Linked DNA regions of Astyanax mexicanus. The main gene of each other region encodes a partner of the protein of the gene in region 3 in a complex. Links are inferred from orthologs where the notes say so. Each region holds a gene or a part of one and is shown on either strand. Other genes may lie near its edges.

The links.
Region 1: timm50 (region 3) and timm17b share a complex: the UniProt entries of both Homo sapiens proteins name them as parts of the TIM23 complex. The link is inferred for Astyanax mexicanus from reciprocal best matches to the Homo sapiens genes TIMM50 and TIMM17B.
Region 2: timm50 (region 3) and timm21 share a complex: the UniProt entries of both Homo sapiens proteins name them as parts of the TIM23 complex. The link is inferred for Astyanax mexicanus from reciprocal best matches to the Homo sapiens genes TIMM50 and TIMM21.
Region 4: timm50 (region 3) and timm17a share a complex: the UniProt entries of both Homo sapiens proteins name them as parts of the TIM23 complex. The link is inferred for Astyanax mexicanus from reciprocal best matches to the Homo sapiens genes TIMM50 and TIMM17A.

What each region holds. Positions count from the first base shown.
Region 1 is NC_064419.1:20,725,457-20,733,077, forward strand, and holds the start of timm17b (mitochondrial import inner membrane translocase subunit Tim17-B), read left to right. Parts: upstream 1-4,409; 5' UTR 4,410-4,460; coding exon 4,461-4,486; intron 4,487-6,878; coding exon 6,879-6,978; intron 6,979-7,061; coding exon 7,062-7,125; intron 7,126-7,621. Other genes in the region: pqbp1 (polyglutamine-binding protein 1), read right to left, coding at 1-79, 471-582, 687-753. UniProt on the Homo sapiens protein: Essential component of the TIM23 complex, a complex that mediates the translocation of transit peptide-containing proteins across the mitochondrial inner membrane.
Region 2 is NC_064408.1:91,587,780-91,595,694, reverse strand, and holds timm21 (mitochondrial import inner membrane translocase subunit Tim21-like), read right to left. Parts: upstream 3,101-7,915; 5' UTR 2,774-3,100; coding exon 2,455-2,773; intron 2,353-2,454; coding exon 2,290-2,352; intron 1,547-2,289; coding exon 1,449-1,546; intron 1,351-1,448; coding exon 1,277-1,350; intron 1,158-1,276; coding exon 1,052-1,157; intron 933-1,051; coding exon 840-932; 3' UTR 245-839; downstream 1-244. UniProt on the Homo sapiens protein: Participates in the translocation of transit peptide-containing proteins across the mitochondrial inner membrane.
Region 3 is NC_064425.1:17,464,380-17,472,647, forward strand, and holds the start of timm50 (mitochondrial import inner membrane translocase subunit TIM50), read right to left. Parts: upstream 3,058-8,268; 5' UTR 3,016-3,057; coding exon 2,821-3,015; intron 1,692-2,820; coding exon 1,529-1,691; intron 416-1,528; coding exon 384-415; intron 1-383. Other genes in the region: tnfaip1 (BTB/POZ domain-containing adapter for CUL3-mediated RhoA degradation protein 2), read left to right, coding at 5,375-5,615, 5,920-6,089, 6,220-6,303, 6,404-6,456, 6,727-6,922. UniProt on the Homo sapiens protein: Essential component of the TIM23 complex, a complex that mediates the translocation of transit peptide-containing proteins across the mitochondrial inner membrane. Has some phosphatase activity in vitro; however such activity may not be relevant in vivo.
Region 4 is NC_064431.1:17,484,073-17,491,775, forward strand, and holds the start of timm17a (mitochondrial import inner membrane translocase subunit Tim17-A), read right to left. Parts: upstream 3,506-7,703; 5' UTR 3,354-3,505; coding exon 3,319-3,353; intron 1,696-3,318; coding exon 1,596-1,695; intron 1,082-1,595; coding exon 1,018-1,081; intron 694-1,017; coding exon 565-693; intron 1-564. UniProt on the Homo sapiens protein: Essential component of the TIM23 complex, a complex that mediates the translocation of transit peptide-containing proteins across the mitochondrial inner membrane.

The DNA.
Region 1 (7,621 bases), on a different chromosome or scaffold from region 3:
AGTGATGAGCGCAGCAGGGTCATTGGGAGACAACCAGGACACCAAGTCTGTCTCTACGTTCCAGTAGTATGGGAGACCACTGAAAACAAACACAAGGGACGTTTGTGTCATTAAATATTTATAAAGCAATGATATAGGGGGGAAAATAATTTTATTTTATTCTTCCATATTTCTGTTATATCATCAGGCTCATTATGGTGTATACATGAATAACACACTAATCCAATCACAGCAAGTTTCATTACATAATCTGTTGTTATTGTCCAATCTAGCCCATTTAAAACTCTGGCAAAAGATTTAAATGAGGTGTCACATAAAACACATATATGAAGTCAATATATGGAACTAAGAAGATGCAATCCAGATAATTTGAATGAATGTTTTTTGTGTTATTTTTTATGTAATGTAGTACACAAGGGTTCTAGCATTGCAACGAGATTAAAACATAGTGCAATACAGGAAGCACTTACCAGGTAGGGTCCAGTACTTTGTACCAGTTGGTGGGTAAATTTTCAACCCTTGTAGCTTCATAGTCTACATTGTTGTCGTCATAGTCTTCAGCAATGATTTCCTCTTCATTGTCTTAAGAACAACAACATATCCAATCAGTCATAAGCAAAACATACATTGTATATTGACTACATTAAGAAGTACAGCTGACTATGTACTGTAAGCTGACATCTTACCATGTTCTGACTGCTTTAGGATTCCTCTCTTGGCCAGACGAGCCAGAAGAGCTGGTGGCAGAGGCATCTGGGGAGAAGAAAAATGGAGAGATATTTTGCATATTAATAACATGAAATTGTTAATTGTTGGTAAATTTATCTAGATTTTAGTAAGACACTCTAGAGAGATGAGGAAATCGCACAAAGATGCTCGTTATTATACATATGACTGTATATCCTGAAGATGTGAAAACATAAAAAAACAATTGCTGATGGGTGCGGATGTGTGGGCACAACCTGTTTGCAATATGTTTTATAGCTTTTTACAAGTAATGAAAGCTTGGCTTTCTTATGCCTGCTCATTACACCAATCAAAAAACAATAACTTTGTATTTTAGACAAGAACATAAAGCAACCAGATAAAAAAAAAAACATTAGTTGACTTACATGCCAACAACTGCATTTACAAATGGGGTGAACACATCCACCCAGATCTAGTCAATTTAAACTACAGACCAAACCCTAAAATCAGAATAGACGATACAGCACCACTCTCTAAAAAATAAAGATGTGTCTTAAAGCAGTAGTTCTCAACCCTGGTTCTGGTGTACCACTGTCCAGCATGTTGTAGTGTTTAGATGCTGCTTTAGTAGCAGAATTGGACTAAGCATAAATATTTTTAACTTACATTTATTTTGTTTGATTAGAGCTGAAAAATATATTGATATTTTTTCATACTGATAAGGATTAATTTCCTTCCTTCAATCAACTATATCATCATTGCTTAAAAAGCACTGACCCAAATGTACATTTATTGACAGAGTGTAAAAAAATTCTATTTCATTTTAGAATTTATAGAAATCACAGTATTCTACATAAAAAAGTATTTGAACAGTTAAAACACAATGCATACAGTTAATCAAATGATTATCTTTAAATACTGTGATATAATATTTTGCCATGTTATACAGATCTATTAGTATGTGATTACATACACCAAGGCTGGCTTTTACACTGTTCATAAAGATATTGGTATTAATTTAGAACTGGGCAAAAAAAGTTTTCGTTTATTTTGCACCATGGTCTTGGAATAACATTAAAAACAAATCACAGAGTTGGTTTTCTTGAGTGAGCTTAAATCCTTTCTGTGATGAATTCTGTGATAAGTAAAAAAATGTCTGTGATGGAAACATGCAATGGCTACTCTGACATGCCTGTTTTGTGCTTTCATGTTGGTTTTGTGTTTATTCTAAATGTAAATAAATGTTGTAATGTTCTGTAACTAGTGCTTCGACAGTGTCGATTATTTAAATGTGTCGACTACAAATTTCATTTTTGACTAATCGTTAATTTGTAACAGTACCGCATTACACAAAGTGGTGACAGAAACACAATGGGAGATGGTAAATGGCTCACTCATACAGTTTACACTCAATTTAGTATGTGTCTCCAAAAGTGCTCAAACACAACAGGTTACATATTTAATCACTACATATCAGTAGTTTACACGTTTAAACAACTTCTAGGCATTTAAATTGCTTTATAATTCTCATGTTCTATCGTTTTAGAGATGGGGGATCTGGCAGAAATAATCATTGAGTAATCGACTAGTCGAAAAAATAATCATCAGATTAGTCAACTACCAAAATATTCATTATTTGCAGCCCTATCTGTAATTGGAAATGGTGTGCCGTCCTGGCCAGATCTCCCTTGAAAAATAGATTTTTATCTCAAGGGACCTCCTGGTTAAAAAAATTAAGTAAATAAAAAAATATCGTATTGACCGAAATTAAGAATTATATCGTAATATTTTTTTTGCCATATCGTCCAGCACTATGTTTGGTCCTGACTCTTAGCAACTAAACCAGTGTTGTGGTCTGTGGCACTCTTAATTTATTTCTACTTCTTAGGACAGCTGTAACATTTGGTTGTATTATTGATGATCATTAAGGTGCTGTTTGCAGAGTAAAAACAAAACACGAGTTACAGCAAAACTAGTTACCCAGCACTTTCATTCAGCCCTCAGACTTAACGCTAGCTTAGCTAAATAGCATAGCACGTTACCCCAGCGTACTCAGACTCCTATTTAAACCATTATCTGCTGTATTTCAGCTAGATATCCATGCAAACCAGTGTCACAGCAGGCAATACAGTCTGCAGCATCTGTAAATAATCCACATTGATAAATTGAGAGAACCGCTGGTTTATTTACCTTAATAACAGCCGCGCGCTGCTAACTTTTCATTCACAGCAGCTACCAGCTTCAGTCGGCGCAGAAAAATGACGTCACGCTCCTCCCCCTTGTGGTCCCAGTGGGATTTAAGTGTTTTTGCTTGTTATAGAGAGCTATGGACAAGCATATAGAATAAATGAAATAAATAAATTACGTTAAATTAATTATAATAAAATTATACAGCTTATCGAGTGTCCGCTCCAGTCAAACAAGGAGTTTGATATGGTCCAATGAAATTAACAGTCCTTGGCGTTTCTGTTGAGACAGCCAATCACAGCACGGGATTACTTGTAGCGATCCTCCAACCGCAAGCAAAATGTAATAAAAGTACTTTATTTTAAATAATAAAAAAAACGACAAGAATGAAGATTCAGAATTATTTTAACCATTTCTCTTTCTTGACGTAATTTTGTACCTGGTACTTGGACCAATGCAAATGCTGCAAAATGACTTGAATAAACGAACCTGTTTTACGTCATCTTATACTTTGTGGCAATTTGGGCACCACAGGTTGGTGTTTTTATTCTCTACAGAAAACACAACCTCCAGGCATTTAATTGATTGTGAGAGTGGATGTTGAATAGCGTTTTATGTGTTACTAATGAGGAGTTGTTACTTTTTTGTGAGATTTACCTGAGAATTTGTGAATATATATAACATTTGGATTTGTAAGTGTTTTAGCCATTGTACTAATAAAGTGCAGTTAAAAGTATCTTTCTATCTTTCTCATGATACCCACTCTGTATGTCTGTCTATCTCTCTCTTTCTCTCTCTCTCTCCCTCCCACTTAGTCCAGTTCAGTTTAATAGTGATTTATTAGCATAAATGTAAAAAGAAACACTATTGCCAAAGCATATGACAGAAAACACATAAAAGCAAAATAATAATAATAATAATAATAATAATTACATACATGTATACAATTACAACAACTGGAGCTATTTACAGGCGTAAGCATTATTATTATTAATTATAATTGACAAGAAAAGGAAAATAAGGGTGAAAAGACTATAAATACGTAATAATAAGGAATAAATCAGTGATTTCGGTAAATTAGTTATAATAATTTTGTGTTTTTGTCCACACTGGTTTTCCCTCAGTGAGTGATCAGCTCCTTACTCCCTCTATCTCATGATACCCACTTTGTCTATCTGTCTCTGTTTCTCTCTCCATACCCATTCTAATTATTTTACGTTGTCTTTCTCTAGCACTCATTTGGCCACCAATGGTCAGTGTATTTATTTCTCTACAGAAAACATTTGTGCATTGACATAATGTATACTAAGTGTAACTGTACAATAACTTTGTATTGTGTGTTTATTTTCTTAATTAAAAAATGAGAAATACCTGGTGTAGGTACAAATACTGACATTTTAAATATTTTTTAATTTAGTTTATATACATTTAATGTACAAAGTTGGCATGTGTGCCTTATATTTTTTGTACTAGAAATGCAGACTCTCTTCTCTCTGGGGTGGAAAATCATTGCTAATCCTGTCCATCAGGTGGCGCTGAAACCCCGGCGGGCGGCTGCGTCACGGCGCCGAGGTCAGCGGCTGATCATGGAGGAGTATGCCCGTGAACCCTGGTAAAGTACAACTTCTGAGACAGCTTCTCTCTTTAACTAAACCACCGGTAAACAGAGCCGCTCTGACTCCGCTCAGAGGAGCATTTCCCCCGCCTGTGTGTGACTGTGTGTCGGCTCTGTTTCCTGTAGTTCCTGCAGTGAGTGTATGTGTGTGTTTGTGTGTGTGTGTGAGTGCAGTACAGCGCTCGGTTAGCGGGGCTGGCTAACAGCATAAACACCTCCTCCTCCTCCTCCTCAGGGTCGGGCTGCGAGTCTTACATCAGTGGAGCTATACACACACACACGAATATACAAATACTCACAGATACTACACATGCAGGAGGACCTCTTAGCCAGTAACAGCGTTTAATTACCACAGTAACGCACATTTAAATTCCTTAATAAGTAAAAGTAAAGTAAAGTAAAAATACAGGGAATTTTAGATTATATTGTCTGTTTTGTTATTTCTTAATTTGTCTTAGTTCTCCCGGTGTTTTCTCTTTGTCCTCCATAATTTTCCCAGTTTTCTGACACCATGTATGCTTACTCGTCTTACTTTACCACTCTTTATTTTATTAGTTTTTTTCTCATCTTTTTTTCTCACGGTTTTTACAGTTTTACTATTTCTCTGCATCTGTTTACTTCTCGCTTTCTGACCTTTACTTTCTCTGTTTGTCTATACCACCCGCTTCCCTGTTTCTTTTATTATACATAATTTAATCTCTCTGTCTCTCTCTTTCTCTCCCTTTCAGTCTCTCTGTCTGTATCCTTCTTTCAGTCTCTTTTAGTCTCATTGTCTTCTTCCCTTTCTCTCTCTTTCAGTGTCTTTGTCTCTTTCTTTTAGTCTATCTCTCTTTCTTTCAGTCTCTCTCCCTTTCTCTTTCAGCCTACCTCTCTTTCAGTCTCTCTCTCTCTGCATCCCTCTTTTTCTCTCTCTTTCAGTCTCTCTTTTTCTGTGTCTCCCTCTTTCTCCCTTTTGCAGTCTCTCTCTCTCTCTCTCTCTCTCTCTCTCTTTTTCTCAAAATACCCACTCTGTCTCTATTTCTATGTAATACCCTCTCTCATTCTCACGATTATACCCACCACTTACTCTATAATCTGTTTTTCTCACTCTGCTCTGCCCATTCTGTCTGGCTCTCTTTTTTCTCTCTCTTTCTGTTTTCTTTTTGTCTTTCCAAGATTCAACATTTAAAGTCGTTTTTTTCTTGCCTAACTGTAACTGTTTCTGTCAATGTTTGTCAGAAAATTAACAGAAAAAGAACAACAGTAATTATTAATATTTATTAGAGGTGTGCCAAAAAATCGATTCACATAAGAATCTTGATTCTCATTTACTACGATTCAGAATCGATTTAAAATGTCCCAAAATCGATTCTGAGGGGCGGGTTTTGGACTGATTTTGGGCTGGGTATTTTTGTTGGACCTGGCAACCCGCTTGTCCCTTCAAACCGAGGTCTTCCAGACCCACACAGAGCGTAGTAGGTGTTTGAGAATCACCGGTAAGATGGCAGAACAAGCACTATATTACTTTAGATTAACGTGTAGTTTTAATGTTTTATGGCAGAATGCTTCATAACAAGCATAAAAAAGATCGCTAGTAGTTAGTTTCAGTAACTGTTAGCTAGCTAACAAGCTAACTTTCCAGTTCCACCTTAAATAACGCTACAGGTGGCTGCGGGCTGCAGCATTTAAGGCGGAACGGAAAAATAACAATAAGCTAATCAGAGCTAATTTCAGCTCCTCATCACAGAGGAATTAAGGAATGGACAATATGAATTAATTTCTCCACCTCCTGCCCCCTTTCTGAAGAAATACAACGACCTTAAATTAACTAGTTAATCAGCAGCTGCTCCTGAACTTTAGCGCTCCACTGCTATCATCACATCAGCCCAGCAGCGTCACCTACACACCACCGCTAGTAGCCTGGTAATAAAGCAGTGTTATTTATTATTTATTTATTGTTCATTAACGTCATTGTGATATCCCAGTGATTCCTCTGTCACTGAGGACCCACATTCCTGCACATTTTATTGTTTTTGTAACACATTACTTGCTCCAGGACCAGTGTATATTATGGAGGGGTTTTTTTTTCAATAAGATTCATAAGCCAGAAGCAGAAATTTTTATAATTCAAATCGTTTTGAATCAAAAATCGATTTTGAATCGAATCGTGGCCCCCAAAATCGGAATCGAATCGAATCGTGAGATAGTAATCGATTCCCACCCCTAATATTTATAGACAACAGTCAGGTATGGTCTCTAAGGTGGTGACCCACTATAATAATACCCACTCTATCTGTCTATCTGTCTTCCTCTGTTTGTCTGTCTTATCTACCTGTCTTTCTCTGTTTCGTGATACCTCATGATCTTTTTTTCGTTATGTGTCTTTTTATCTCTTTATTTGCTCTCTCAGTCCTTGGAGAATAGTAGATGACTGCGGAGGTGCATTCACGATGGGGGCCATCGGTGGGGGGGTGTTTCAGTCCATCAAAGGCTTCAGGAATGCGCCTGTGGTGGGTGTTTCAGTGCCTAAATAATGACCTGATTTCATGCTGATTGTGAATTCTTTTGATTCTGATTAATCTCTCTCTCTCAGGGCGTACGACACCGGCTGAAAGGCAGTGCGAACGCTGTGAGAATTAGAGCACCGCAGATCGGTGGTAAGTTTTTCTGTTGTCCTGATTCTTGCTCTATTCTTCTCCTGCCTCTTTGTTCTCCTTCTGTTACAGTGAGAGACAAGCACAGACTGACCTGGATTCCCTGAGAGTATCAGTATTTTTACTGGGCTTGTGCTTCAGCCAAAAAAGATCAGGTTCCTAATAGTAAACAAGTGCTGTCAGGTATCAGTGTTACAGATATGATTATATTTGCTGCTTCATTCATTCACTCTCTGTTGGCATATGAGACTAAAACAGGTTCCTAACGACACTTATCAGGGCAGAAACTAAATGCTGCAGCTCCTCCTACTTTCTTGGCTGGTTAAAGGGGTGTTTTCATTGAATATCACAGCTTCATTTGACATAAAAATATACTAAATAATAAAAAACAATATAAAATCCTATTAAAAAAATATATGGTCCACACTCCAGTCTATACTGTCAGAGATGTGCAAATATATATGCTGTGTTTCTTAGTTACTGTGGTCAGACACTCACA
Region 2 (7,915 bases), on a different chromosome or scaffold from region 3:
ACAGACAGTAACACATTAAGTGCATTCAAAATTCCTTTTCAAACAAACACCATGATTCCAACATTATGACACTCGGCTAAGTGAAAGTTGAAACCAGGCCAATTCAAATAAGATCATCCCCAACATATCATCTGATCTTTAATGTATAATTATTATTTATTTTTTTGTTTACAAAAAGTTAGAAAATAATTGTTTCTTGGCATTTTTAAAGCACCCTGCTTCACAAAAGCTTTATTTCTTGGCAATCAAAATTCAAATATGGCCATTATTTCTTATTATTGTAATAAAACAATATTACTGAATGGCAAATCAATGCTCACATCCATGAAGTAAAACAGATCTTAATATGTATTATTTGAAGCTGGCCAAGGACCAGTGCAAATAAGGCAGTTTGCAAGCATGTGAGTGAGTTCATTTTCTTTGCTTATCTGGAAGCAGTTACTTTAATATAGTGAATGAAATTACCCAGAATGACATATGAATGAAATGTGGCAGTAGTAAATGGGCCCATTTAATGGCAGTCAAACTGACCACTGACCTGAGAGTAAGCAATGTGGATGCCCGGTGTAAATGCATAGAATTTGAGTTAATTAAAAATCTTTAAAAATGATTCAGGTCCTACAGTGTACATAGATATAATTGTATTCACAAAAATGACCAGGATATGACATCTGAAGGCAAGAAAACCTGAACTCCCCCTAATGCTTATTTGAAATACTGCCATTTTGAAATCATTACCCTACACATAAACCTAGCTTTATACAAACAAGTTCACCGTAAGAGTTCCACTGGGAGCTTGAAGAGGTTTCTATCTGTTCAGGATTCACTGAAAAACCATCTCATCTGTTATCTTCAATCACGATTGTCCTCCTGGGATAGGCGTCTATATCCACAAATATGTAGCGGAATTCATATCTCCCCGTCTCAGGATTCTGTGGAATGACAAACATCCAGAAACATCTTTATATTAGAAATCTCATCTGATTAAACTGATAAATTCCAGCAATGAAACACATTAGTGTACACTGTAAACAAGAATTTTGAATTTCACCTGCTTTGCCTCTGAATGTACAGTTCCGTGCAGTCCTGGCTCTGAACCCTCAATGTAAAATTTCAGCCTCATGTGCTGCTGGCCATCCTTCACGTATTCAATATGGCTATGAGAACATTAAGGGAGTTAAGTCAAATATATAAAAAATTAAACTGTATGGTTTATAACTCAACTCTCTTAAATATTAATTATTTTGTCTACTATTATTTTGCTATTGCATCATACCTAACTTGTTGTCTCCTACCCCGGCGAGTGGTCTCACCATAGCCTTTGATGGGCTCACCAAAAGCTCCAATTACCTAAAGTAAGAAGAAAATTTTATGTATTCATGAAATAAATAAGTTAATAAAAAATAGTGTAGTTTTATAATGACATTCTCCAAATTAGCAAATTAGACCTCTGGGTGTGATCTGCATTTTTCAAAAGCTTTCCCATAGAGTTTGCTTGGACTGGATGATGAAAACAGTTCTTGAAAGATGACATAAAGAAGTCCACCTGCAAAAAACAGGTGAATAATTTTAGAATCATAAATCCTGAAATAACCAGCGATAAAACCTATGTATTACAATCTTTTGTGCCCCTTTCTATCGTTGCCAGGTTTTTTTTTATTTATTTATTTACGTATTCTTTTGACTGTGACCTAGTAGGTTGATGATGGAAAACCAACCTTAAAACAACCTTTATTTAACATTTAATAGGCATTGGTTAAGGCTGAAAGGCTCTGAATGGCTTAAAAAAAGAAGGTTTTGGAGTGGCCTAGTCAAAGTCTGACTGAGATGCTGCAACGTGATCTTAAACAGGCCGTTCATGCTAAAAAAAAGCTCAGATGGGGCTGAATTAAAACAATTCCGCAAAGAAAAGTGGACGAAAATTTCTCCACAGAGATGAAAAAGACTTATTGCCAGTTATCAGTAAAGTTTAATTGCAGTTGTTGCCACCAAGGGAAGCACTGCAAATATTTTTTCACACAGGGCAAGATTGTTTTATTTATTAAAAGAAAAAAAATAATTTAAAAAGTGCTTTTAATATTAAGATCGGTTTGATAATTATAAAAAAATATCAGAAAGGTATCAGAGGGGCAAATACTTTATATTCCACTGCGTGTGTGTATATATATATATATATATATATATATATATATATATATATATATATATGCAAATAAATAAATAAGAGAAAGCCTGTCTACTGGAAATAAGCATCCATAAAATAAAGAATAATTTAGAGCTTTATCTTACCTGTAACTCCAAGACCAATGAGCACCACTATCAGATAGGTAAAATCTTTGCCAGCTTGTTTGACTGTAGGAGGGAGACAACCCCAGAGCACAGCACATTTAAAGTCACACTAAAGTTTCTGCATAAAATCGCTGTAATGAGCTGTAACACACCCCCTGAACCCACCTTTCTGTGCAGCTGAGACTCCAGAGGAGGCCTGGCTCTTGTGGACTGATACCTGATCTCGACCCCTGCCCTGTCCCTCAGGGTCACTCGCATTTCTGCACTGACCTCCAGCGTGGAAACCTCGAGTCTGAACACCAACACAGCGAGGCAGGCATGTCCACCGAGTTAAGGGCAAGTTATTGAACTTTACCTGGATTAAAACAGGGTTATTCACCTGCAGAGGTGACACCTGTAGAGATGGGGGGATGTTTACACGCTTCAGTAAGTGCTGTACACAGTGTGAAGTCCTGCCACTTCTCAACAGGAGTGAATAAACCATTATAACCGAGGTTAAGAACCAGTAAGGTAACTGAGTTAACCTGCTGCTGTGGTTCACTGTATTTAACTGATAGCTAGCTAGAAAAGATAGCCTGGCTAAACACTGCACAGGTCTGGGAGATACATAGCACTAGCCAGCTTGTTATTTAATCGGTAAGGCTACACTTTAAGCTGCAGTGAAATAAGCAGCTTCTCTTTCAAAGACTGAAAATGGTCAAACTGACCGTGACCCCAGAAAACTCAACAACACAACAATCTCACTCCTCACTCATGACTGGAACAGCCTGCCATAGCCTCACTGGCGCCAGCTAGCTAATCCCCCCTTCAAAATAAAAGTCCTCTCCGATAATAACAGCGTGATTAGCAAAATAAACCTGTTTATAAATCTACACTTATGAGTAAATGTGGACTTTATTACAAACATCGTCACTTTTATAAATACAGGCCATATTTCTCCTTATTAAAACACTTTATCTTTAAATGTTGGGGTACTTTTATTTTTTTTATAATGAACTTTGTCTTGACGTCTGGCGAGTTCACAGCATTTCTTGTAGCTGAGGATCATGGGAGTTGTAGTGTTTTGACTTCCATAATAAACTCTGTTCAAACGTCGCTAAAACTACAAAAGAAACTAAACATCATTGTCTGGAAATATTTGTTCTTTCTGTGAACTAAATATTAACAATCTTTCTTAAGAATGTTATTTGCTATCTCTCCAAAATAGACAAATATATGGAAAATGTAGTTATGTTGTATTAAATATTTAATTAATTTTAGTTAATTTTTTAATGCATAAATGCAAGTTAAACGAAATAAATGTACTCTTTGCTTATGGCTGAGATTAGGTTTTAAGATTAAAAACACAGGGTTTCTGAAATCCTATGGAATATATGTGTTATTTAATAAAATTTTTGTTTTCCCTATCCATTCTATGTTTTTGGAGTTTATGAGTTTTATTTGTATTCTCCTGAATCTCCTCATATTTCACATGGTGCAGTCATGTGTGCTGAGTGTATTGTCTTTCAACGTATTTAATAATAAAAACCAAAAACAGAAAAATGCTAAATCCAAACAAATGCATAAGAGAAAATGACTAACAAATAACTAACCATAACATTCTTGGTTCTTGGTCTCAAATAAGCAATTTACGTAAAATAAAAACAAATATAATTCTGTTTTCACTTTTGCTGTATTAAAAAAAAAGAAAACATTCAAAAATACTAATAATCAGTGTTGAAACAAGAATTTTGACAGAATTATTCATGTCTTTTATTAAAAAACATTTTGTCTATGATTCACCTAATGCTGACCCAAGTAGACCTTCTGGCAAATGAGCAGGTTTTGAACATACAGACATTTCATGTTTTATATGGAAAAAAAAAGATGTGTGATCTACTTTCATACCATTGATCAATACCTTGCAGCTTATATATGATTGTAGTAACATTTCTTTCTATTCAAATATGCATAGACAAGACCTGCTGACCAGTTTCTAAAGATTTTGGTCAAATCTGAATCTAATAATTAATTTTTAGTGAATGTGCACTTAGCGGGCAGAGGTTAGGAAATTGAAAAACAGATCACAGAAAATCAGGTCAAATAACTGATATCTGTTTATCAGGTGATAATAATAACAGTAGACCGCAGATGATTTGTGTCAATTCTGTAGCTAGTTAGCCCATATTATAAACTCCAGGGCTGAGGTGAATTTCTTTTGGACACAAATGAATGAGGTTTAAGGTTTTTTAAGGTTTCCCCCCTAAATGTCTCTGGATCCTCATTTGCTACATCTAATGGGTCAAAACAAATGACTGATTAATGCTACATCTATGCTTACAGCTAAGCTAACGTTCCTGCACACTGACATGGCACAGTGCTTATGTCAACAACTACTTTTTGAGCTTACTACAGTAAAATATACATTTTTATTCAAACTCTATCGCTACCAGAGACATTTAACTCTCTTTATTTGATAAAGCTGGCTGGTTTGTTTGGAGTATTTTGGTGAAACAAGTCTTTTCAGTGTGTTGCAGTGTTAGGCTTAGTCTGTAACTAGCAAAACGTGTATAATTCAGAGGATACAGGGGCATTTAATAAAAAATACACATAGAAAAAATTCTGTAGGGTTTAAAATGTGTGTGTTTACCACAAAAGTCACAATTTTCCAAAACCTAGGAAATTAATTATGTGAGAGAGGAATCTACATAGAGTTTATAATGTGGGCACTGACTACAAAATGACAACACGACTCCAGTGGCCTGTGCAGCTCAAGTCTACTTTAGGAAAAGGAACAAATTTGCATTGACATTCAGTAAAGTTTAGATTCACATTTTAGCTTTAGATTCTTTTCTTAAAGGTCACAAAAGAGAAAAAATAATTACATTTGTTTCATATCCCACACAATGGATAAAAATTAAAACAATGGAAAATGAATAAAAAACAAACCAACATCCCCATCCTATTCCCAGTACAGTATCCCCACCCCCAAACATCCCAATCCGCCCCTGGATTTCAGTTTGCAGTCAGGAGATGTAGACTTATGTCTGTCTACTCTCTAGGCACCACAATGCTGTTCAGTGGCTGAGCAGGTTAAAGTCAATGTAGGAACACAAGTTAGTGTCGTCCACCAAAAGCCAAGAGGCCCTAGGCAATCAGATGAGAAGCAGACGCTGCCCCACTTAATATTCGCTGAATCTGACAGTCCTGTCTGTAGGAGGATGTTACGAGTTAGTCCCTTAAGCTGTCAAACATGGAAAGACGCAGGGCAGTGATGCATCTGCCTGTTGAAAAAGTAAAAAAACACTATTAGGGCAACCCTGAAGACAAGCATGTCCTTCTTTACGCTCTGCAGTGCACATTTTTGAACAAGAAAAATAGAAAACATGGTTCCAGATATCTGGCTATAGGCTACATATATTTAAAGGGATAGGTCTAATGCCAATGTTGTTGATAACAATGAAATGATGAAAGTGAAAAGTCATCATTAAGAATTTGCAAATGACATCATACAAACTGGTAACAATTAGCTTCCATTCCCTATTTAGCTGAGCTATTTAGTGCTCTAAAGGTTAAGATCCAAATAAATAGTACAAATTCTGGTTTTAGGAATATACAGCAGTACAGACATTTAAACAATGATAATAGTTTGCAAATATATAGTTTTTAGGACAAGAGCCCTCACTTTGATAAACCAATCGAGTCTAAGGCATGCCACTCTGACTCTAAAATTTACTCCGCATTGCCATGAGCACCCTGGCCAAATTTCATCCTCACTGATAACACAACACCTCACATATTATTACTAAATTGTGGGTGGTCCCAAGCTGTTCCCGGAGGTAACACTTTATCAAATTATGTACTGCTGTTCCATGACATTTGGAATTCACATAATTTTGGTGTTTATATATTTTTAGCTTATATGTAAAATATGAAAAATCAGAACACACACAAATAAAACTCATGTTCATGTTTTTGATAAAATGCTGGAACTAACAAGTTAAAATAAGAAAACAAAAATGGTTCTATAAGTAGGTGTGTCCAAGCATTTGACTGGTACCATACATCACTAGCAACAATATATATGTGTGTGTGTGTGTATATGTGTACAGGAATTCTAATGCATCACTGAATCACAGAATGGTATTAGCATTACCTGTTAGTAGCAGAGGCAGTGTGCATATGATCTGTCCTTGGAATTGGAAAAGACAATCATCACAGTATCATCAGTCCAATTTATACAAATTTGTTTGCTATTTAATTATTTTATTTCACAACATGCCAATGACATCATATTAATCCCAGTTCAGGGACACCAACTAACGCTTTAGGATTTAGGCTCAGCCGGCATAAGAAAACATGAAAGGGGCTCTTGTCAAAGTTTATTATTTTCTTAATGCATACATAAACTGTGTTAAAGGTGGTCCAGCTTTCAAACAGCTACAAAAATTTGTGTACAAATATTATGTGCCACCAAAATGTAGCAAAAGTTTATGAGTGTGTTTTGCACCTGCACTTTAAATAGATTATACAGCAAAATTAATTAATTTAATTAAAACATTTTTAAAATGAACTTAGCCACACATATTTTATCTTTTTTAAATATTTAAGCATGCATATGTTAGTGCAGTAATTTGCCTTCTAAGGGGGGTTTAGTTTAGTTCACAATGCCTTGGATTTAACTTAGTATGATCAATTGTTAAACGAAATGACAAATAGACATAAGACATGCAAAAAGACAAAAATGTTTCTCTTGGCCTGAGGTAAATATATGTAGACTATAGATATGGCTGTAAATAATCTGTGTCAACACTGTTTATCCGGTGTAAAAACAACAAAAAGAACAACAACAAAAAAACATATTTTTATGGAAGAATAACAAATGCATGCAACAGGAAAGTTCTGTTTACACTTATTCTTATAATGGAAGTAAAATAACAGTTAATACAGTGTGTTTGTCCAATGTCAACCAACGGCCTGAATAATTAAAAAAAGGGCAAATGGATTAAATAATGCTCGTCCAAAATTCAAGTTTTAGATATTTCAAGCAATTTCAATCTAAAAGTCTCTTTTTTTTCTCTGCTACTGTGTCCATTTACATCTGCAGTGTGTTCTGTAGGCCCTATGCCTGTGACTACAGTGTCCGTGCCATCATGCTGCTGTAAATCTCCGGTCCATGTTTTCATATTTCTCTGAAGCTCGTTCGTACTGATCCAGGACTGCACTATTTTCAAGAAGTCTACATGATGGAGACAATGCAACATAATGTAGTGTGAGCAAAGACACACAGACAGAGCACATTTTACACTGTGACTACAACAGACATGAAAACATAGACTTCATGTAACCGAGTCGATGCATTACCACAGACAGTATGAGAAAATGCTCTTCCTGTTCATTCAGGACTGGCAATGAATTCTAAATGTGTACAATGTGATCGAGTAGTGCATAACAGGCAGGGTTTCTTAATACATGGCTGGTATAAACCTAAACATTTTTGCATGTATATACTGATTGTATAGACTGATTAGCCATACCATTAATGACCTACTACTGTTCTACTTACCGCCTAATACACAGTATATTACAGTATATAGTGAATGGTTTTTATATTACCTACTTGGATATCATGCAGTTCATAAAATAA
Region 3 (8,268 bases):
CGAGATCACACACCTACAGCCCCGGCACACTCCAGTCGTCTACTCGCGAGACTGCACTTTCTTGTGAAGTGTGTCCTTTTGAAGCGTGAGAAGTGTGCTCTTAGACATGCAGCATCATTTACAAAGACCTGAGGAGTGTGCCGTCTGCTCACATCACCTGTAAATTTTAACAGTCTGCAGTTACACCAAGGGGGGGTATCAGAGAGGCGCCTGGGGAGACAAGAATAGGTGAGGAAGTGTGCCTCCAAAGCCTGACAGCACTACCTGCCACACAGGACTGTAGAGGACTTCTAACTGCCTTCACACCTCAATGCCTGTCAAAAATCTGTAATGTTGGAACAAGGACGTGAATCCTGACTATGTTTTATGTAGAGTGTACGTACCTTATTTCCTTGTTCATCCACAGAATTGCTACCTGTAGAAGTAAGGAAAACATATTAAGACTTTCTGAAAATACTTTATGGCTTAGTTATTGACACTTTTTCAATTTTATATTTCACATTTTACTTAGTCATGTAAAACCTGCCAAACACTTGTGAATAAAACAGGGCCTGATGACACCATGCCCTAATGGCCAGCGAGGGAGAACAGAATTATAACCTAGTACCAACATTGTGACTTCACTAACACTCCGCAAGCACTAAATGCAATCAAAAACTCACATAAATGCTCTAATATATACGTCTCCAACAAAATTAAACAAGACTAAACAGCCAATAACCTTGATGATAAAAAAAAATCAATGTTAAGATGTCCCAAACATCTAATTTTTGTGTTTCAATTATCATAAAGCACAACAAGAACAAAAATAAACACTATGCTATATTTAAGAACAATGTCACAAATGTCAGTTTGATTGATTTAAACATAGAAAGAAAAAGATCAGCACAACATTTCAGGGTTTTTTTGTTACAACAATATTATTGGCAATATGAGAACATTGAATAAAAAATATATAATTTCAAGAATACACTACTGCAACATTTTTTTTAAATGTGAAATGAGCACAGTGCAATTTTTCCTTTTTGTTACAAACAGCAAAAGCAAAAAAGAGTTATACCCTGATGGCCCACATGGCCAAAAAATATCACCATATTTAAGGCTATTTTGCAAAAACTATATTCCAAAAATTGGCAAAACAATTCTGTACAAAAAAAAACGAACAAATAAATCTGACTGTGCCACCACTTTCTGCTGATGACAGATTCACCCTGTGAAGTAGCACTGCATAGTGCATGAATTAAAGTTGAAACAAAGCAACAAGAATATTTTTAAGCATCTATTCAACCAATATAACTAATTATAAAACTATAATAGTAAAATGTGTTTTAAATACTAGAACACACTATAGCAATGAAATAAACATTTGATTTTTTTTTTTAAAACTCCATATATTTACACACCTTGTCCACAAGCCCAAAGACAACACTTCAAATAATCCAAAATCCTTCTGTGAAAATCCTTTAAAGCCTATTAGAGTAAAATGCTGGAGTCCTCATCCCAGAACAGTCCCAGAGGATTAACTCACCGAATATGTACACAACACCGACTGCGCCGCCAAGACCCATAAGTCCTGCTAAGCGAAGGACCACCTTCTTAGCATATGCTGTGTTTTCTTTCTGCTTCCTGTCCTCGCCTTGCTCATCTCCCCTCTGCTCAGAACTCTCCTCCCCCTCAGGAGGAGGCTGGCCCTGAGAGGGAATAATCAAAACATTAGAACATGAAGCATCACTCTATTTTTTTTTTTTAATTTTTACAGTTACCTGACTCCCTCTTATATAGGGAATCCTTACACTAATCACAATTTAACTAAGAACCATTAGTTTGTTCAACAAGACAATGCATAAGTAAATCTGTCATGATAATAATGATAATCAATTTGTACAGACTTAATTGATAAAATTATTTTTTAATGCCACTGGTATTATAATAATTCAGTAGCACAGGAAATGAATGCATTAATTATTTTGAAAAAGCAGAAGTTTAAACTATTGAAAATATAAAATAAATGACAAAAATTTCATCCAAAGTAAATAAATAAAAACAAATCATGGTTTGTAAGCAAAGTCCACATACCAGCTCTTCTTAATAAGTAAAAAAGAATGCACTATATTATAAGGTCAACAATATACAATAAATCTACTTGATTATTGTGACACTCCTATGCATAATGACACCACTAAAATGAACACAACAGATGACATCAAGATTATCAAATATTACTTACTTATAGGTTATATCCATTTACTGTACGATAAGTTGTTAATGTAATTATTGTGACAGGTCTGATCAGCTGGTTTTAAGTCAACGGCACATATCTAATCTACTACAAGTGGTCGTTTTTATAGAAGAGACTAGTATTCTGAAATATAGTTAATTAACTAACTAAGTAACTATGCAACTAACTCTAACTAGCATTCTTTAAGATGGCCACATGCCTACACACTGATAAGAGACAATACTGACAACCTGATAAACCAGCACATTGGTAAAATTACAAACGACAAAACACACGCAAAAAAGACAAAATCCCTCCCTAAAAGTGCTTTCAATAAAGGTCAAATTAATACACAGTTAGTTAGTAAGATAACCGAAAGTCAATGCTGGCTACATCCTTGGCAATATGTCTATAGAGCTCACCAGCAGCCCATTCAAACTGATTCCTGTAAAATTGAAGAATTTCTATATTATAAGTGACATGTTTCATAGCTCTGCAGCGCCTTTAAACTGTTTAATACCACAGAGGACTTAATAATGAAAGCCAGACCTGCCAAAAGAAACGTCAAAGCACATTAGCAGCTCCAGCTAACCTCTACCCACCTGACTCCTCTGCTGCTGCTGAAGTCTCTCCTGGAGAATGGCCTGGGCCAGTCCGCCTGTGGCACCGCTGTCCCCCTTCTGAGTGGAGAGCGTCCTGACCGCCTCCAGCGCCGCGGTGGCCCCGGCTCCGCTCCTGAGCCTGAGGAGGCCCCGGCTCGCCTGGACACACATGGGGAACACAGACACCGCCGACATCTTGAATGCTAGCGGCTTGTAGCCCGGCGTAAGTGGAAAGGACAAACGCCTCTGATTGGCTAAATATAGTTTGATTGACAAGCGAGAAAACCAACCGCGGTTCTTGTGGTGCCTGAAAGGCGGTCATTCGTGTTTTTCGACGTATCCGCTGACAGACGGCGTTGACCTTCGAGAGCAGATAAAAGTGCAGTAAAGTGGCCTTGATACATAACAGAAAAATCCCCCCAGTGTGAGTTACATCTGAAAAGTCTCATATAAAAGTAGATTAACACGTTCAGGTAGAAAATAAATTATTTTAATTCATTTAGAAAAAATGCTAACTAAAAACAGTAGCTCAATGCGCTACTGGTGAGATATATTTCAAAATAAAAGTCAATTGAACAAGTTCAAACGCACAGCTTATACAATATTACCAAATAAATTCACTGTGGAAGAGACAGCAAATAATATTTATATAACTTACCGGTCAAAAGTGCTTTTTATTTTCTCATCTTAGCAATAACTTTATTACCGCACTTGACCTGTAAGAACTAACAATAATTTTTCTTTCAGTGATGAAACTGAGAATTAGACCGATGTTAAGCTGAGCTAAAGGTAAAGTTCTGGCTTTATATGTAATTTCTCAAAATAATAAGTACATTGAATACACTTAAAAAAAATTAAGCCTTTAAACAACCTTTATTAAACATTGCCTAATAGGCATCGGTTAATGTTGAAGTTCTGACATTGAATTTAAAGGCTTTGCATGGTTTGGGGCTTTTATACACTTATATACAAAGCTTTTATGAAACATTTATAATAATATTAAATTCCACTCTTTACACTGCGAGACCATAGTATAGGCTATAAGAATAGAATACAGGATATATACATTTAATGCGATACAATTTTATACCATGCATATAAAACCAGAACGTTGAATCAATGCTAAATCAATGTAAAATCAATGAGCACAAATTAATTAAATTACTAAACTCTGAAACGAATATCTTTGAAATGTAAGAGTTATTACATAAGGCAATTTTAATTATTATTATTATTATTATTATTATTATTATTATTATTATTATTATTATTATAAGGCTTTTTTTTTTACGACGATACTGCCTCTAGACCAGTAGGTGGTGGTAACGCACCTGTAGTTGATCTGCAAACCGCTATAACCCAGAGAGAAGAAGAAGTTAGCATTAGCTAGAAAGCTAACCTCACAGTAAAAGTCTCTGTTTTCTGTGTTAAATTACCTGAATACCTGATTCAGGTACATTATCATCCTCATATATCGGCTAATCGATCACCTCCAGAGGACAAAGAAGCTGGATAAAGAGCGCGGCGTTTCTGAACAGCTGTACGGTAGGTTAGGTTAGCTATACCTAACGTTACTGACTGAGTTAAGCTCGTTTTAGCCTGTTAGCTAACGCTAGGCTAGCTGCTCGGTATCCAAAGTTGGAACCAGTGGAACATGTTAACGCTAGCTTAGTTAAACTAACGAGCTAACTAACCGGCTATGTAAACACAATTTAGATCTCTGGAGAAGCTATTTTAGAATTATATCCGCAGTGTATAGAAGCCAATTTTCGTAATTTAGAAAAATATATAAGGGTCCTCCACTAAGTCATAATAAGATATTTATAAAATATCATAGCTATATATCGCGTAATATCTCAGAATTACGACGCAATATGTCATCATTATGACATAGTATCTCATAATTATGAATTAACATCTCAGAATTGTATAGTTATAATTATGACTTAGCATTTCTTAAAAATGATTAACTAAGCATCTCATAATTATGAAGTGGTATCTTGGTAGAGAACCCTTATTTTTTTCAAAGTCAATGTAAACCTTAATGTAATTTTGACTTGTCCCATGTTGCCATTGATTTATTTGGTATTTCACATTCTCTTACAATTGTAATGCTATAATTCATTATAAATATTACTAGTAAAAGTCTGGGTCCATATTTGCGTGAATTATTTGTTAAAAAAATAGCGATTAATGAATTCTAATGAAGTTGAATGAAATCTTTAATGAAACGAATGAAGTCTATTCCTATATATTCTTATTTATTTAGTATATTTAATTCTATATCTTCGTGAAACCGTGCTGTAATTAAAAACTTGAGCTTCACCACAAGCATTTCAATGCACAAATATCATATGTTGTGCAAATGACTGACACTGAAACTTTACTGCGCTATGTGATGAGACATTTAAATTGTTCTTTCTTTCTTTTTTTCTTTTAAAGATATGTGAAGGTGTGGCGAGAGCTTGTCCTGACAGCTTCCCCACCAGCATTCACCACGGCGGGGGACATCAAGCCCACTGTGTGCAGGGTGGTCATCTACCTCCAGAGGGATATGTCGGGAGAGAGCTGCCTGCACCAGCGTCCTCCGCAGGTTCCGCCCACCGTGTTAGTCTCTGCAGTGACCTGCCCCAAGACCAAGACGTGTTGCCAGGAGGGCACTGTGGGAAACAAATATGTGCGACTCAATGTGGGAGGAGTTCTGCACTACTCAACTGTGCAGGTGCTGACGCGACAGGACGGCCTGCTGAAGTCCATGTTCAGTGGCAAGACCGAGGTTTTCACGGACAAAGAAGGTAAACACTGGGCCACTGACGACTAGCACTGCAATAACCCAATACATTACATGTTAAAGTTTCCATATTAATTGCAGGCGTTGACCACACAACTAAAAACATTTTGCAAAAACTTAGTTTTGGTTCCTCAAAAATTTGCTTTCTTTATTGACATATCACAATAAATTCTGGGTGATTCTAATCTTTCAGTATGGATGCAGTCATCTCTGACAACTCAGTGTATCACAATGCACTAATGCATTTTTTTTGTTTGAATGCAGTTTTTTTTTTTGTTCGTGGGCTGAAAGGATTTTGTTCTCCTCAGGTTGGATTTTGATCGACCGCTGTGGGAAGCACTTCGGGTCAATACTCGGCTACTTGAGGGATGGAAGTCTGACCTTGCCCAAGAGCAGGCAGGGGATCATGGAGCTTTTGGCAGAGGCCAAGTACTATCATATCCAGGGTTTGATAGATTTGTGTCAGCAAGCCGTTCAGGTCAGTGAAGCTTAACTGGGTCAGAGTAGTTTTAAAAACAGGTTACAAAAACTGAAAAAAATAAATAAAGCTGTTCTCTCTGTAATCAGTAATGGTGTGCTTGTCCTTGATTGTTTTTTTTTAATCACAGGATAATAAGCAACAGGCTTTGTGTGTTATCCCTGTCATTACCTCCTCAAAGGAAGAAGAGAGATTAATACAGGGCTGTACAAGGGTAAGGTTGTGTTTTAATAATATTATTTGGCTAACAAACAAAACCTTGATTCATTGCGGTTTTAATATGAATTATGTTATTATTATTATTTTTTTTACAGCCAGTAGTGAAGCTGCTCTACAATCGAAGCAACAACAAATATTCCTATACCAGGTAAATGAGTAATTAGAAGATTTTAAGCAGTTTGATGTATGTATCTCAATGCAAATGAAAAAATGTAAAAAAACAAATTACAGTGTATTTAAGATATATAGAGATTTTAAAAAAATCTTTTTAACATTTAGAACAATTAATATATATATATTTTTATTTTCTTTCAAATATTTGGCCAATCCTAGAGATCTGAGTTCTTAACTCATTTTTAACTATGTCTCTTAATTGTCCCTCGCTGAACCTGTTTTTTTATTATTATTCATTCGCCAGCAACTCTGATGATAACTTGCTTAAGAACATTGAGCTTTTTGAGAAGCTGTCCCTGAGCTACAACGGACGAGTACTGTTCATGAAGGATGTAATTGGGGACGAGATCTGTTGCTGGTCTTTCTACGGACAGGGCCGCAAGTTATCTGAAGTTTGCTGCACATCTATTGTCTATGCTACTGAGAAGAAGCAGACCAAAGTAAGAACCGTATTTCTCAGTGGAATTATGGATCTAGTCGTTGTTTGGTTTGTTTTTTGTTCTTTTTAGCCATGAATTTATGAATCATTCTTAAGAAACTCATAGGTTTCCAATTAATGATTTCTGAATAAAAAAATCTGTTTCTGTTCAGCTGTGCTGTTTAAGCTGTGTGTACAACCTGCCAGCTGTTTGATTCGTCCTATTCACAGCTCTGTAAACACAAATGACTACTGAACGTCTGTCCATAAAAACAGCTGTCGCACACTAGTGAAGTCCTCCTTATCGGGAATAAATAGCCAGTACTGCGTTTTGAATATTTTAATGATGTGCGAATTCAGCTATGAGTCAATCTGTAAACATTGCATCACTCTCTTCATCTTTATTCAGATTTTCATGCAGAGAATATACGAATTTATAAATGCATTCATTTTTATAAAGAACACTCAAAGCCCTCCAAATTAGACGAATTATTATAGTTTTAGTATTATAGTATTATAGAAAAATATTACTCTTTATCTTATTTTCGTTAGCAGATTAGCATTATATGCCCACATGTTTTTGTGGACAACAAAACAAACAAATCTGCTAGCAGCTTGAGTTGTTACTATAGCTGAAACAGATTTGTGAATGCGCACACACAGCTTGTCTAGTCTCTATGAAAGGTATTGCAAATAGAATAGGACCCTTATGCATAGGTAAATGATATGGGTGTCACGATTCTTTAAATCCTCGATTCGATTTTATTTTTATTTTAGGGTCACGATTTGATTTGATTTTCGATTTTATTTTTTATTTTTTTTACAGCAGAGAGGCCTATGCCAGTTTTAGATTAGTCTATGGTCATTCATTGGTTTGATTCATCAAATTTACAATATCTTATTTCAAAAGGCGGGATTGATATAAGTGATGCAAAGTGATAAAAGTGATCTGTAGCACAACACTAGAGGCACTAATGATTCAATGAGTCAAATGTTTAATAATTTAATTAAGATATATTTATAATGCCATCTAGTGGCTTTTTTTGGTAGCAGCAGTGTGCATTATTAAAATAAATAATAAAAAAATACAGGAACAGTCATGTAAAAAATAGAACAGTTAGAGCCTTAACAAACTGAACTCTATCCTACTATAACAGTTAAACATGAAAAATAAGACTTTAAGACTTTTTCAGTCCCTGAGAATGACAAGTTTTTTTCTTTAACAAATATATATTATTAACTTTATCTGAGAGAAAGATGCTCCTTAAAGTACAAATTACTATAACTATTAACATATTTGAGGCTAGACAAAACAACTGTTATTTTGATATTTTCTAGTTTTCTTTAAGAAGGTGAGAATGTCCACAT
Region 4 (7,703 bases), on a different chromosome or scaffold from region 3:
CGTGGCTGGGCTGTACTGAAGTAGTGACTGAGTGAAGAGAGCGGGGCTTGTGCTGCTGCAGCTCCGACTAGTGGTTTGATGAAGAACTGCAGCTTCATGTAAGTGAGCAGTTTCACCAGCCATCCACACACAGCTCTGATAAACTGCTTGTTTTAATAGTGCACACTGTTGCTACCCACAAAAGTCACTAGATGGCATTACCATATATATCTTAATAAATAATAATAATAATATTTATAATATTTATAATAATAATAATAATAAATATATTATTTAAATTTTATGAGGCATAAAATAATAACAAGAAAAAAAAACAAGAAAATCGAGAATCGAATCGAATCGTGACCCTCAAATCGAAAATGAAATCGAATCGAGGATTTAGAGAATCGTGACACCCCTAATCGTTACATGTTTAGCAAACACTACCACATAAAGAGAGTATGAGTCTCGCAGCATTTGGCGTTCATGGGATTTAGGTAGGCTACTCCAAGCTCCCCAACACAATGAATTAAGGAATGAAAAATAATGTAAGAATCTGAAACACAGGCCCAAATTTTCACTCACTTCTGGCAGCGAGGATAGCTCCAGTCATGGCTCCACTTGTTATCGAGTTCCAGGGATCCTCTTTCCCCCGAACTTTCACCAGCCCACAGTCGATCATCGAGAAGAGTCCGCCCCAGACGGCAAAACTTCCTGTAGTACGCAGAAAACATTTAGGTTTGAATTTTAAGACCATAATCGCTAATAAACTTACAATCCTAAAATGTTTTATTGAAAGAAAAAAGAAACATGGCCAAAGATTAACAAGAAACAGGTGTTCAAAAAAGCAACATTAGAGTTGCCCAACACTGTTAGGCTCACTGGATCAATGATTGGATTTGGTTGAATAAACATTTATCAGATTGGTTATTTAAAAAAATAAACAATTGCCACATTAATCATCAAAACATTCAGTATATTTTTTTGATTACCAACCTAATCAAACAATCAATCAGTGCACTATGAACCCATTCTCACCTCCTAGCTGTGGAGCTCTGGTTCTGATGGCAGTCATGCTGCCCTTCAGTCTGTGATTTATTCCCTAAAACAGAGAGACAGATAAAAGTGTAAGCAGTCCATCATCTCCTATTCAACTAACAGAGCTCAGCATCAGACACTTTGACCTTGTCCAAAGGACACTGGGAGCTCAGGATAAGTTCCAAGGTGAACCTTATGAAGAACCCAACATGTGACTCAAACACCCACCTTAACCAAAAAATACACTCCAGAATTTCCTTAATAAAGAAGTACCTACCAATGGCTTTGTTTGTTTAAAATTTATATTAACATATGTCCCCACCTTACATTCCAAAAAGCATAAATGAAAATGTTTAATTTACATTTTAAATACTTAAAAACCATTTGAATCTTAAGTATATCACTTTTGTTTTGGTTTTGCATAAAGGAGGAGCTACACAGGCCATCCAGCCTTAGATGGTGCTAGAAAATGATGCAAGTGGTTGCTAACCTTTATAACCATTCACTCATAACCAAAGGAGCAAAACCATTGCACATTACTATAATGTGATTTAATCATACAAAACCAGAGGACTTACAGCAGGTGAGTTTCTGAAACCTTTAACAGCCTGGAAGATTCCTCCACCTATAGCTCCCATTGTGAATGCACCGCCACAGTCATCTACTATCCTCCAGGGACTAAATAAGAAAAAAAACACAGAAAATACAGACACAACTATCAGATAACTAACAGCATACTGTATGTAGATCATGTTGGTAAATGTTAACAGAAAAAAAAAGATAAAAAGAAAAAAATAACAATACTACACTGCATTACTAAATCAAACTAAATCCAATGAGTTTTTTTGTCATATTACATTCACACAGGTAGTAGCATTAGTACAGGTAAACAGTTACACAGGTTTTTTTTACATTGGTTTAGGAAAGATATTGACAACCAATGTTCGGTTTGTAAGGTCTTTGTAATGTTGTAAAAACTGTAACTGGCTAGCTAATTTGTTTTGGGATTGTCCTTTAACTTAGTCTTTTAGACATAATCCTTTTCTTTTTTTTATTTGTCAAAACGTTTCAATGATCCCTACATTTTATACATTTTTATACTTCTTTCTTTTGCAAAATTTTAAGCAGCCCCCAAAAGTGTAAAATATGAAAATCACTACTACAGTCCTAGATTGCACATAAGCATATTGTATATATGACCCTGTTGTACACCACATTGTAGTGTGATACGCCTTCTAACATTGAATTAAAAATAAAATAAATAGCTAAATACATAAAGAGTAAAGTATTGTATGGAATGGAATGGTATAACTAGGTAACTAGCTAATAACCTAAAGTTGGTTTGTTATCTGAGGGCAATATTACGCCATAATTAGAGGGGTTGCTTCATTGTTTAAAGTCTTTAATTATGAAAACATCTAGTTTAATTTTTACACTTTAACCCCTAGTATGTTTGTTTCTGTACATGTTTTGAAATATATATGGGTTCAATTTTGTACTGTTTACTAATTACTGGAGAAAAAGCTACTAAACTACTTTTGTGGGAAACTAAAGCTAGCCGTTAGCTAACCTAACCAAACAAATTACAAAACTCAGTGCAGCGGTTACTATGGAAACTAACCAGGTTAACTAGGTTAGTAGTATGGGTGTAGATATGCCTTCTAACATTAAATTGAAAATAAAATAAATAGCTGTTACATAAAAATAAGATATGTTATGGAATGGAATGGAATGTAGTTAGTTAACTAATAACCAAAAGTTGGTTGGTTGTCTGAGGGAAAAATCATGCCATAATTAGAGAGGCAACGTTGCTTCATTGTTTAACCTATTAACATGCATTGAACTGCATACGGGCTACAGTAACATTCCTTATCAAACATGAAAGCTTTTTATGTAATGCTTGAATAGAAATCCTCAAGATTTAGGGGTGTAATGTCAGGCAGAATATTGACAAAAATCCTGGCCTGTTAAGGGGTTAAAGTATTTAATTATGAAAACAAATTTAATTATTACATTTTAACCCCTAGTATGTTTGTTTTTGTTCATGTTTTAAAATATCTATGGGTTAAATTATGCACGGTTTACTAATTAGAGGAGAAAAGGCTAGTTAGGTTACTAAACAAACTAGGTTACTTCTGTGGGGAAACTAACGCTAGCGGTTAGCTAACCATACCAAACAAATTACACAATTTAGCGCAGCGGTTACTATGGTAACCAGGTTAACTAGGTTAGTAAGCTAGCGTTAACTAACTATAGTTAATTTAGCGAAGCTAGATAACGTAACTAGTTAAAATAAATCACCTCTGAGGTATAAACCTCATTAATCTGTGGAGCATGTCAGATCACTCAGAGTTTAAGTTAATATTTCAGCTCTGTCTGGATTATTTTAGTTAAATCGGTGATATAAAATTAGCTCAGTCTCGTGGTTATGTAGTTAGTTTGTAGCTGTGTTATGAGTGTGCCCGCGAGTCCCCCGCTCCGCCGCTCTCAGAGCAAGGTCACCCCGCCTGTCAGCTCGAGCTCTCCGGCCGCGTGCTTTAGACCTTCCCGCTGGACCCGGTCTAACCCAAACCCTGACAGCACGCGCTCCCCTCAGACTCCCCGTTACAGCGCGCTAATCTCCACTAAAAACACTAAACCGCGCTGATCTGAACATTAATAAATTATAAAAATAAGTAAAATTCGGCCAGGCCGGCTTACCACGGTTCTCTCGCGTACTCCTCCATCTTGTTCTGTTACTGCTCCGAATGACGTCACCGGACAAAAGACAGTTCAAGGTTGACGTCAGATCAGCAGGTTCCGGTTACGACAACGGGCCACCTGGCGGCGTGAGGGGGAACTGCAGCCAGTGAGCCCCCCTTCTGTTTAATATGATATTATATAAGATAAGGTGTTTAAGATAATATATAATATTATCTAAATATAAATGTGTAAAAAAAAATATCTACAGGAGCATTTCACCCAGTTCACCTGTTACTGATTAGTTTTACAGTAGGTTAAGTACCTACAACTGGTTGCACACACACACAGGTCAGTGTAAACTTTATCTGTTGAACTTTCTTACTGTGAGAACTAAATTGTAAAATATAAAACAGGGTGTAAAACTTAAATAGTTTTTTAATATCTGCCCCTCACAATCAGAGTTTCAGAAAAACTGAATCTTTAGTAGGTTATTTAATTTTCCATTCTTGCATTTTGTAACATTAATTGGTTTGATTATACATACCTTTTTCCCGTAAATTTCCCGTATTATGATAAAATTAAAAAAACTTTATTATTGAGGAGACGGCACTGACCGCTCTGTGTCTCTTAACCAATCGTGGTGCCGGTTCAAGGAGAAAGTCCCGCCTTTCAGGAGAAACAACCAATCAGCTTGCTGGTTTTGCGTAGCGCAAAGTAGGGTCAGTGTGGGGAAGACGCCCCGCCCCCCGCTGTGAGTTCAGGCAGCTAGTCGGAGCAGCTGATGTTAAAACATATATGGATATACGGAGATTTTTGTAAAAGAAAGGTAACGGTAGGCTAGTCATATAAACTGTGATGAGATTTTTCTGATAGCTGCTTGAAAATACTCGTCTCTGAATAAAAACACAAATTAAACCTTTTAAAAATTCAAAAATTACGGCTTGTGACTTAACTAGAAATGTGGAGAGGACCGAAATGAACTGAACTGACCAGGGGTGGAGTGATCAAAAGAAAGAAGTATTAATTAAAAAGTATTAATTGTGTAGACCCCATTAGGACTCATTTTTACTGATGGAATATATCTGGTCCATGTCCTTTTAGTAAAAGCTCATAATACTATTTTTAGGTCACCAACAGTCATTTTGCAGAATTTGTGCACCCTTTGTTCAATTTTAAATCCATTAAATAAATAGAAAATATATCATATAAAAGAGTGCATTTATGCCAAAAAAGGCATGGAATCTTTTTTTTATATATCTAGAAAAGGGTTTTTAATTTGGCTGTATTAAAAGAATGACATATGTAGGAATGTCCACAACATTTCAGTGTCAACAAAGGTAGGCCTATCAGATTCTGATAATCTAACTGTAGTCTGTAAGTGGTTGACATGTGGTTATTTTATATTTCTTGTAAACCTGTCTTAAAATGTAAGGGATACTGAACCTTCGTTGGGCTGGTGGGACAGCTTTAAGCGGACGGAGGAAAATATCCCTTATTTTTAAATCTAAAACTAAATGGATCATACCATCCATTTTTGGACTGAATTTTTTTTCTGGTTTTCTTATTTTGAAAGGTAGAAATGAAAAAGTAGAACAATAAAAAAATAATGTTTTTTTGAAAAAAAGAAATAATGACGTTTTACACAATTTTCTATTTCCTTATTAAGCTTAGTAAACGTTACCCAACACTGTTTTTATGTTTTTGTGTTTGTTTGCTTCTGCATGTATAGCAGCACAACAAAACCACTGCAGCAAGCTCATGCACCACTATGTTCGACATCTTATTTTTGTCGGTAATGTCAGTCAAACGCATTTTGGCGTGTGGCGCCAGCAATCTGGTTGTGTCGTGTATCATGCCCAGTGTAGTGTACTCTATATTGGTTCAAATTCTATAAAAAAAAACAGTAAAAAAAAAAAACAGTAAAAATTCATTAAAGAAAAAAATAACATGCCCGGATAGCTGCAAAACTCTGCAAGCAGATTTATCTCAGGCAGATATACAAACGATTACGGTGTGGTCAGATTAGACACATCTTGCTAGAAGAGGATGTAAAAGTGTCCCCCCCCCCGCTGCCTTATATAAAAAAGGTTTTCAGAGGCTACATTTGGGTAGTCTATCTCTTTCGGTGAGAGATTATTTATTGATGTGTCTCTAGAGCACATTCAAACACATTTTGCCCAGTTGACAGACTTTAAGAGGGGCGTATTCCTAGACTGAGAGAAGCAAAATGGTCATTTTGACAAATTCTCACCATCAAGGCCTTACATGAGCCAGCCATCATCACCTTTTTGTGTTTGCGGTGATTTTGTAAACAAGAAACCTGGACTGTTATGCAACAGAACCATATTGACTAGGTTTAAAATGACCTCATACGACAGTCAGTCGGTTACCCCTAGTAGTGATACAAAGACAGCTCAGCAATATGTGCAGGACACATGTCATGTTGTTCCTCATGGCAGGGCATTTTTCAGCAGGATAATGTCTACCCACACACAGCAAGGGTACTTCAGGAAGGCCACAACCAGATTGCAACACTTCCTTGACCTGCATGCCAGCTTTCGCAGCCTATAAGTGTACAGGCTCTCCAGGCCCAGCTACAATATGACTTTATTGTATTTTTGCTCTGAGACATGCTCAGAAATCTCTCTCTGTCCTGTTAACTAGTGTATTAGTGAAAGACTAGTCATGTACCTCCATTACTCTCTCTTTCTCTGTGGTCGCTGTTTGTAGTTGGACAGAATGTTGGCTATCTTCCAGTTATTAGGAAGGAGAAAGGAATGAGGTGAGGACTGCGTCTCCATTCAGAATGACCAAATATGGGCATTTCATGGGTGCAGAGGGCAAGACAGGGCAGAGGAAGTATAAACGAGCCTGCCGCTGCACACAACACCCCTCAATACAGTCCAGCAGAACTCCAGCAGGACTCCAAGTTCGGAGAAACATCTTAAGATGTGATGTTGTTCTTGACACAGCTCTTGCTGTTTCTCGGTACGGTATGAGGTATGACATCACTGCATGACATCCAACCTTGCTTGAGGGCCTATCAGTGTTGAAACTGGGTATCGAACTCTGCCTACAATAACCTGGTTCTTGAGTGGCTAAGACACCACTGTCCCAGTGTATACGCTCACAAATACGTGGACAGTTGCTCGTTTAGCAGGTGTGATGATGTAAATGCTATTATGAATAGTGATGTTTGGAATTTGCCTTTACTGTAAAGACATGCAGTGAGGATATAATGTCTCTATAACAAGCAACTATAAAACATATTATTATTATATCCTTCAGAATGTGGTATTTAAGCAATCACATTGTATTTTTTTAGTTTTAAAACTAAAAGTGACAATATATTGAAATTGCAGTATCTGGCTTACAAGCTTTGCCCAGTTAAATTTACAGTATTTTACCTTTTTGCGTCTCTGGAAAATCATACAATTATTTTAATATACAAAAAAAAAATGTTTATGATAAACATCTGTGTAAATGGAATACATAAACTATTTGTTTTTATCAATTATCAATAATTAATTTTAACAAAACTACAATATAATCAGAAATATTCTATACAGATAGAAAGCAGCACAGTTTTCATTACCGTAATTGTGTTATATCACTGTCAAATACATTGCCAGAATATATAGCTAAACTGCCAAAATATGTAGCTCTGAAAAAATCTGAATCAGTTTCTCTGATTTCGTTATTTATAGGTATTTGTTTCAGAAACAATAAAGATGCAGAGCTTTAAGACCTCAAATAATGCAAAGAAAACAAGTTCATATTCATAAAGTTTTAAGAGTTCAGAAATCAATATTTGGTGGAATAAGCCTGTTTTTATCACAGTTTTCATTCATCTTGTCATGTTCTCCTCCACCAGTCTTACATACTGCTTTTGGATAACTTTATGCCACTCCTGGTGCAAAAATTCAAGCAGTTAATCTTGGTTTGATGGCTTCTGATCATCCATCTTCCTCTTGATTATATTCAAGGTTTTTGATTTGGTAAAA